Schizosaccharomyces pombe: one gene and its partner. The protein of the gene in region 2 interacts with the protein of the main gene of each other region in a pairwise test. Each region holds a gene or a part of one and is shown on either strand. Other genes may lie near its edges. The genes, in order: mdm35 and SPOM_SPBC56F2.07C.

Region 1 (3,245 bases), 3.4 Mb from region 2:
AAAGTAACTAATCATTATGAAGACATTATTATGAAAATTTATTTTTCGGCTCATTAGAATCCTTCTTTATCTGTGTAAAAACACCATCACGAAACCATTTGTTGGCCTCTTCTACTTTTTGTTGTCGTTGAAGTAAGGGGTTCACTAGTTCAATGCCTTGAATAGGTGTGAAGGATAATGAACTTTGTAAACCGCTTGCAGCAAGGGGATTCTTCTGTGCCATTGATTGTAGTTGGGCCTTCCGCGCTTTTGGTAACCGTAATTTAGTTCGAGAATCAATTGACACTGCACGAATTTTTCCTTCACCTTCTTGACCAAGCATACCAAGACCTTCCGTTTCGTCAAAATTAAAGACTTCCGCCTCCTCCTTACCAAAGGCGACGCGATTCTGTAATCTCCGCAATTCCGTTACGGCATATTGCTCTTTCATCTTGCGAATTCTTCTTCCTCCACGACGACGTTTTGGCCTATCGTCAGGAACGGGTAGCGCAACAGTTGGTTTCTGTGATGGAGGTTCCAAAAGCTTTTCAATTTTCCGTTCAACTTCCTTTCGAGCAGATATGCCAAATGAGCCATCAGGATATTCATGAATGGAATCGATTCTTGCTGCTAAAGCAACTTTAGCAGCAGTCATTCGGATAGCTTGCTTTCGTACATCAGGAGGGGTCTTTTGAACAATTTCCGACATATACAAAAATCCATAATCCCCACTAACAGCCGGATTGTTAATACCAATTGTTGTCAGCCTCCTTTTTCCGAGCGCTGGTAAATTGCAAGCAGGAAACTTTCCAAGTCTAGTCAATCCTCCTGCAATGCCGATTAAATTGGCAGCTGTGGTAGAACCCACGACTGCAGACAAATTAGGAGCTACGACACTAATTCTTGATTGGACATATTCAATAATTTTTTGCTTTTCTTCACCCAATTGCTGAATTGCCTCACAGCAATTTTTAACGTTTTTTATCATTTCATCTGGAAGAGGCTTTCCCACTGTTGTCGTTGCTGTTGTAGCAATAACCATCACTGTAGCAGAAGGAAGAAAGGAAAGTTTGGTTTTGCTGTTGTCTAAATCATTTAACAGAGAACTAACAGTTTTGCAATAGTCAAAGGCATTCAAGACCAAACTACTTAATTCAGGAAATCGGTCATGATACCATTCCTTCACGAGTCTGTGCAGCCGCAGGATTTCATCGTCAATTTCCATCGCAATTGAATTAGAATCCACGATAAGGTGATATTCGAGATCATCTTCGATGTTTCCAGTGATAGCTTGTTTTTCGGTGCCTTTATATTTCTCAGTTCCTTCTATGATATCGCGAAGACGTGTAGAATTCAACAGCTGATAAATGTTCTCATTATTGTCATTAAATTTATTAGCAACTTCACTAGGCAATTTTTGAGCAGAATCGCTAATTTTGGTAATATCCAAATCGTTTTCTAATTCAGCAGAAATGCCATTTCCTTCCTCTAATTGTAACTCTAACCGCCTTTTCTTCGCATCTGGCCCAAGTTCATCAGTAATTGTAGATTCTGTAGTTTCCTCAATATCATCAAGATCAGCTAATAATTCATCTGCCAGTGACATTATATTGGTTAAAATCCTTGCCTAATGAAAAACTTTTTGTCAAGCGTAGTTGCCAGAAAAAGAAAAAAAAATAACAAAGCTGGTTCTGGAAGTCTAAGATTTCACTAAAAAAAAGACTAATGAATAATTCAAAAATAGGACGTAATCAGCAAACGCCAGGATAGTAATGTACAAAATAGATGTATGTGGCTATTTAATAGAACTGCAACTTTTTATAGGCTTAATAGCACTAATCGTGCAAATTTGAAGATTAATGCAAATAAATAAGTAAAAATAAGATTCAAATTCGCTTTATTGACAAGTTCCAAGTGGAGTGTCAAACTTGAACTGGCATGGGGTATTTTGCTTAGTGCTCTACACATACTAGACAACCACGTTACTACGGTCATAGGGAATTGGGATCGAAAACTGCTTGATTCATTTCTTCAAGTTTGTTAAATTTTTTTCGTTCATTTTTTTTTTCCTTGACAAGGAAATTGGTTTAATTGATCTGGAGAAAATTCATTCATTCAACAGTTTGGAAAAGTATCAAGATTACTGAATCCAACTATGTCGTCCTCTGTTAGTGAAGAATGTACCCCTGCTAAGGTAGAGTTTTCTTTATATGATAAACACTGTGGACGAATTTTAGCTGACTAAATTATGAACAGAAGAAGTATGATGCCTGCTTTAACGATTGGTATGCGAATAAATTCTTAAAAGGTGATCTCCATAATAGAGACTGTGATGAGCTCTTTGCCGAGTACAAATCATGTCTTTTGAAGGCTTTGAAAACGAAAAAAATAGATCCTCTTCTTGAAGCAGCACGCAAAGAAGATTAAAGTAAGAGCATCTTTGGATATATGATTTTTAAGGTTGCTTTGAAAGATAGCAGTACCATGGAATAAAGCTCTTCTTTTAAAACGGGTGAAAAAGTGATAAGCATCTGTGCAATTGTAAGTTTATCAGAATTGTAGGTAACGAAATATCTCTGCCATGAAGCAAGTATACACTTCTAAAGGTGTTGTTTAAGAACATATGATTCGGCATATCCTTTTGCTGGCAAACCAATAATTCTCTAAAAGGGTAGTTGACTAAGATCATACTAAGTAAAATGATATGAACATCTTTTCATTGGACTCACCTTTGTAGAAAACTTGTAAGAATATACTTATAATCAAAGAATTGAATGGTATTCCTTCTTAATTAGTCTATTTTCACTTCGACATGCAAAAACATTATTTTGGCAAAAATTCGACACCAGCAGGATTTGAACCTGCGCGCGGAGACCGCAACAGATTTCTAGTCTGTCCCTTTAACCACTCAGGCATAGTGTCCAAGTCTGTCACTAAAAAATATATAACATATACATATTAACTACATCAGTCGCAGTTAAACAATAAAAATTTGAATGAATGAAAAAAAATACTGTAAATGTCAATTGATTTTTATCATTTTTAAATAAATAAAATTTGTAACTGTTAAGTCAAATTTCGAACCTCTACGTTTAGGAAAAGCTTTGCATGAATGTTCAGTATTTTCTTTATTAGTTTTGGAACTATTGTATTCAAAAGTACACTGAGTCCAGTAGTAATCAGTTCTGTTGAGAATTTCATACTATTGATTGTAATTGATATACGGTATTAAGAAGCTGAAAGTTGAAGTGCAGTCAATTTCCTTT
Region 2 (5,509 bases):
AAGTTTATTGTTTACTTCGTTGCAGTATGTTGAATAGTGAATTTTATCGCTTTCTCAGATAAGTGGTTTCAAATAATTGGTATGAGATGGGTTACCCATAAATCACTTCATACTGAAATCATCGGCTACTTTTGACGAATTGGTGTTTGGGGAGTAACAAGAGTATTGTAGATACACATATATATATATATATGGGTGTCTAGCTCAGGATATCATCTTCTACAACGTTGCAAGACTGATAACTTACTAAACTTTGAATCTATCTGCCCTTAATTCCAACTTCCGTTATGCAGAACTTTATGAACAACTTGAGTGGTGGTAGCAACAAGGAGGGAGGCGAAAAGTCTAATGACTTTTTGAGCTCTGCTTTGGGTGCAGAAAAGCAAGTGAAACAGGCTCAGACCATGAAGAAAATCAGCGATATGTTTCCTGGTAGCACCAGCGAGAAACTTGCTATTTTGAACAAGATCAACAGTGCAAGTGGTGGTCGTGTTTTGGAAACTCTCGGTGAAATTGAAAACTCATCCTCCTCACAAGATGAAATTATCACCAAGTTGAAGGGTTTTTTGAAGTAGATGTCTGCAGCGGATAATCATGGGAGACGACTAAGACGAGGCCGTGCCTCTCCTTTTTTTCTAACAAAAGAAAGGCAAAACGTATGTATATCGTTAACTTTTCTGCACTGTATCGCCGATGTCACTTTCTGTGGACTATTTGTCGCTTCCATGTTACGTTAGTACATATCAATGTTTCTCTTTAAAAATAAATTGACGAGTTTTATGACTTTTTACATCTCTCAATATTTTTTTAGTGAAATGGTCTATTTTTTGTAATGCTGATAATGTGCAGTAGAAGTAAATTGAGCATAATGTATAATGTATTGTGAATTTCGTTCTGCAATCACTTGTAACATTTCTAGCTTTGTAAACACTCGAAGTTTATTAACCACACATGTCATCTACAATACACTAAAACCACAGAAAAAAAGTATTATATTAATAAACAATGAAACCCCTAATATCAATAATATTTTTTCTCAGGAAATGCTAGTAACACTTTCTGAAAACGATGCATAATACTCAAGCATATCTCGGGTTATGGCTTTCCGCAATGCCAATAATGCTGTTTTAAAGTGAGCTTGACATATTTCTTTCGCTTCCAAATCCTCGTGCATAGCTATCAGACCAGCTTCCTGACAAAGAGCCACGACTTCCGCTCCTGAGCATCCTTCCGTTTTTTCCGCAATCAAATCCAAGTCTACATCCTCTGCAAACTTCATTTTTTCAGCTTGTATCTTCACAATTTGCTTTCTTGCTTCAAAATTTGGTGGTCCAACGTAAAGCAAGCGATCCAAGCGACCTGGTCGCATAAGTGCCGGATCAATCATATCAGGGCGGTTTGTAGCAGCAAGCACAAGTACATTCCTAAGCGCTTCAATCCCATCTAATTCATTCAGTAAAGCTGCAACTACCCGGTCGCTACTATTGTCTTCTCCTCGATTCGCAGTCAAAGCATCTATTTCATCAAAAAATATAACTGATGGACTGGCTTGTCTTGCTTTTTGAAAAACTTGCCTAACGGCTCGTTCACTTTCACCAACGAACTTATCAAATAGTTCTGGTCCTTTGACAGCAATAAAATTCAATCCAGTCTCTGTTGCGATGGCTTTGGCCGTGATTGTTTTTGAACAACCAGGAGGCCCGTAAAGAAGTACGCCTTTCGGAGGTCGAACACCCAATCGTGAGAAGGTTTCGCCATGAGTTAAAGGCCATTCTACTGATTCTTTTAGTTTCTGTTTCACCTCTTCTTGTCCTCCAATATCTGACCAATGTACATTGGGCGATTCCATCATAAACTCTCTCATAGCACTTTGTCGGACAGACGATAAAGCAAACTCCAAATCGTCCATCTGCACCGCACCGAAAATGTCTAATCCCGAAGTGTCCTTTTGTAGTGAAATTGTCCTTTTTATAGCTCTTAAAGCAGCCTCACGAACAACAGCTGCTAGGTCTGCACCAACATAAGCGTGCGTTCGTGAGGCTAGATCTTCCAATTGAGCATCATTAATTTCATTAGGAACACCTGATAACAACAGTTTAATGATATCTAATCGGGCGCTTTTATCAGGAATACCGATTTCGATTTCTTTCTCTAAACGTCCGGGTCGTCGAAGTGCTTCATCAATAGAGTTAGGTCGGTTTGTAGCAGCAATAACAACAACTTTTCCGGCATTAGCCATTCCATCTAATAGAGTCAACAAAGTAGCAACAGCTCTACTCTCCGCTTCACTTACGTCCTCCGTTCGTTTGGGAGCCAGTGCGTCAATTTCGTCTATAAAAATGATTGAAGGTTGATGCGCCCGTGCGTCTTCAAATATTTTTCGAAGCCTAGACTCAGTTTCTCCAAGGTACTTTCCGACCACAGAAGGACCATCGATCGTAAACACTTGTGCATTTGCTTCTGCAGCAACAGCCCGCATAACCATCGTTTTGCCAGTACCTGGAGGACCATATAACAGAACACCCCGAGGAGGCATAATATTAAAAAACTTAAAAAGTTCGGGATTTTGAAACGGAAGTTCTACAATGTCACGAATTTGGGCGATTTGGGCTTGTAAACCACCAATCGACGAAAATGTTACTGCAGAAGGAGGACCGTCGAAGTTTTGAGTCTCTTCACTTCCTTGGTTGTATGCAGACTGAGTTCTGTCTTCATGAGGTAATTTTAATAAATCAGGTGTTTCAATTTCCATACTGGAAGCTGCCGTAAATTTGTAAATACGAGGCTCATCTAAAGACATATCAGAAATTGCTTCTATAAGGTTTGAAGGAGAACGAATGTGAATTTCTTTAACTTTATAAGAGCCGGGAGAAAGCTCATCGAGATCTTCTGTTGCTTTTGGTTCAGATTCATTCACGGAGGGAGAAGATTGAGAGGACCCTACTTCAGTACCCGATTGCGCAGATAAACCTGAATTTATTTCAAAAATTTCCGTAGCCATATTCTCTGAGCTGAGATTTTTGCTACCACTCTTTGCCATATTCATCGGTGATTCACCCATAACAATCATGCCTGGATGAAGATACCTTATTTCTAGCAATTCTTTCCTTATTAAGGACTCTGGTATAGGTTCATTATTGCTACTCAATGAAGCAACAATTTTGATTCCTTCAGCTTCTTTTAAAGGGTGTACATATTGTGAAATGTTAACTCGCTGGAAGGCCTTCAAGTTTGCCCATTTCGCCAATAAAGGACTAATTAATATTTCAAATGGACCTATTCCATTTCCCTTAACTGATTGGGTTATTCCAACAGCTTCACCGCCTTTATGTTTCAAATAAATTACTTGTGACGGAGAAAGCTTAAGACGATTCAAAGCAGCAGGACTTAAGAATACGTGTCGAGTTTGCTGCCTTCTTAAAGAGCCATCGTTTATTTTAACAGTGAACTTAATAGCCACAGACATTAAATTCCTAGTATGGAACAAAATTTAATTTTTGGTTTTTGTCAAGCCCTGTTTCATAAATACTGTACTACGTTCGGCTGTCCTAAATGTGTTCTTAATTACAAATAACTGAATATCAAATGTAAAAAGTTTTTGGAATTAACATTTAGTTAACAATGATTGTTTCTATTACGAGTTCTTTATTTTAATTTGAGAATCGATATTGAAACACTATAGTACCGTATGAAAAAACGAATAAATATCCAAATCACTAAAACTGAATTCGTGAATAAACTATATAATGCTAGAACGTTTTTTTTTGTCTTAGGAATTTGGTTAACTATTTGTGCATTTAGAATATCGTGTGTTTTTTGCTACAGCTAACTCCAGAAAAGGAAACATAGGAGTAGATCCCATTCTAACTTAGGTCACTTCACTTGTTCCAACAGAATAAACATATACTGCATTTCTATGTCAGTAATCATTAATTACAAGGATTGCTATCACATAAAACATTTGTTTATTGATATTGTGTCGAATCGAATTGTTATTTAAGGTTAGGTTGAAAAGGTACGTATATGAGAAACAAAATAATTATTTTTATTGTAAAGCTTTTTTTTTTTTAAAATTAAAACTTTTTTCTATGGCAAATTAAAAAACTCAAGCATTCGGAAGCTTAAAGAGTGCGTTAAATGAACGTTCCAATAAACTTAACATAACCCGAATAATCTCCCTGGATATAAATTCAATCAACGGTACAGTAATAATTATACAAACAAAAATAGGACTCCAAAAGAAAATAAAGGCATGGTAATAAAAAGACTCTGACTTCATGATTGAAATTGGCGAAGACAATCATTAGCTAAGATATAGTTGATTTTACTCAAAATTCACCAATCCAAAAAAATGAAGAAATCTTTTTCTAACCCGTAAACATCATCATAATTCTTTTTTTTTAGATTTTCCATAATAGAAGTTGTGGCATCTTCTGAAAAGAGAATGGTTTAGACCACAACGTTCATGCTTAATGTTTGATGAATGCATAAACATATTAGAATTAGAAAACAATAAGTGAAAACAAAACCCAATAAAGTTTATAAAATAACAGAATAAAAAATAAAAACAAAAATCTTCCGTGCATTTGCGTGGTCACGTTCGCGCCCGAAAGATATGAAATAAGTAGTAAATAAATTCCTTCATGGTTAAACGTATGGCAGAATTAAGAAATCAGCTTATACATATTAGAAATATAAAACCATCAAAGGGTAGATGAAATAACCAATTACTGGCAATGCATGGGTGGTATGCACTACTTAGTTGTAGACGATATCCAAACCATTCAAATGAAAAACACAAAGCGGCGAAAAAGTTTTCAATATTAATTAATTGGCAAAGAGCGTTTGCGTTAAGGAAATAATTTCAAAGAATGGAAAGGAATATGGCACAAGTAGTACTATATTCCCAAAAACATTACACTTAAGTATAATAGGAAAAACGATAAACAACATTAGCGAACAAAGAATGATTCGATAACAAAGGACATTAAAAAATGAAGCGAATACGTATTAATTCACAAACACAATAACAACCATGACGACAAATGTGAATATATACAAAGACATATAAAGCGAAGGGCACTTATGTCTAACGTCAGTATTTTTTAACGAAGGACTAATTGAAGCGCAATTCCCCTTGACGAGGGAACAACGATTGCTGAAGACGAGGGTAATTACCAGGGAACACCTGGGGAAGTTTAGATGATAGACGAGGTAAGCCATAGTCAGCTCCGGCGGTATGATTCATTAACTGGGTAGTGTAGGGATATGCAGGCATAGTTAATTTTCCGGCGGGAACCTCACGACGAAGTAAAGACGAAGATGGGTTGAGAAGAGAGGAGTTATTCAAACTCGCTGACTTTGCCAAAGTGGGATTTACAAGCGAAGAGGTATCTAAAACGGGAGCTCCAGACTTGATATCATCACTACGAGAAATTTGGTATAAATTACCCTTCAAGGGAAGAGAAGCAGTGCCCAGGGGTATGTGCGAAGGGTATGAAGGGTACGC

Evidence for each region.
Region 1: the proteins of SPOM_SPBC56F2.07C (region 2) and mdm35 interact in a two-hybrid assay, tested with the Schizosaccharomyces pombe proteins (one large-scale study listed by BioGRID).

What each region holds. Positions count from the first base shown.
Region 1 is NC_003423.3:741,935-745,179, forward strand, and holds mdm35 (protein Mdm35), read left to right. Parts: upstream 1-2,134; coding exon 2,135-2,173; intron 2,174-2,235; coding exon 2,236-2,406; 3' UTR 2,407-2,703; downstream 2,704-3,245. Other genes in the region: U4/U6 x U5 tri-snRNP complex subunit Prp31, read right to left, coding at 29-1,585.
Region 2 is NC_003423.3:4,098,538-4,104,046, reverse strand, and holds SPOM_SPBC56F2.07C (ribosome biogenesis factor recycling AAA family ATPase), read right to left. Parts: upstream 3,510-5,509; 5' UTR 3,467-3,509; coding exon 1,037-3,466; 3' UTR 823-1,036; downstream 1-822. Other genes in the region: protein tam13, read left to right, coding at 288-575; puf1 (RNA-binding protein), read right to left, coding at 5,117-5,509. UniProt on the Schizosaccharomyces pombe protein: ATP-dependent chaperone which uses the energy provided by ATP hydrolysis to generate mechanical force to disassemble protein complexes.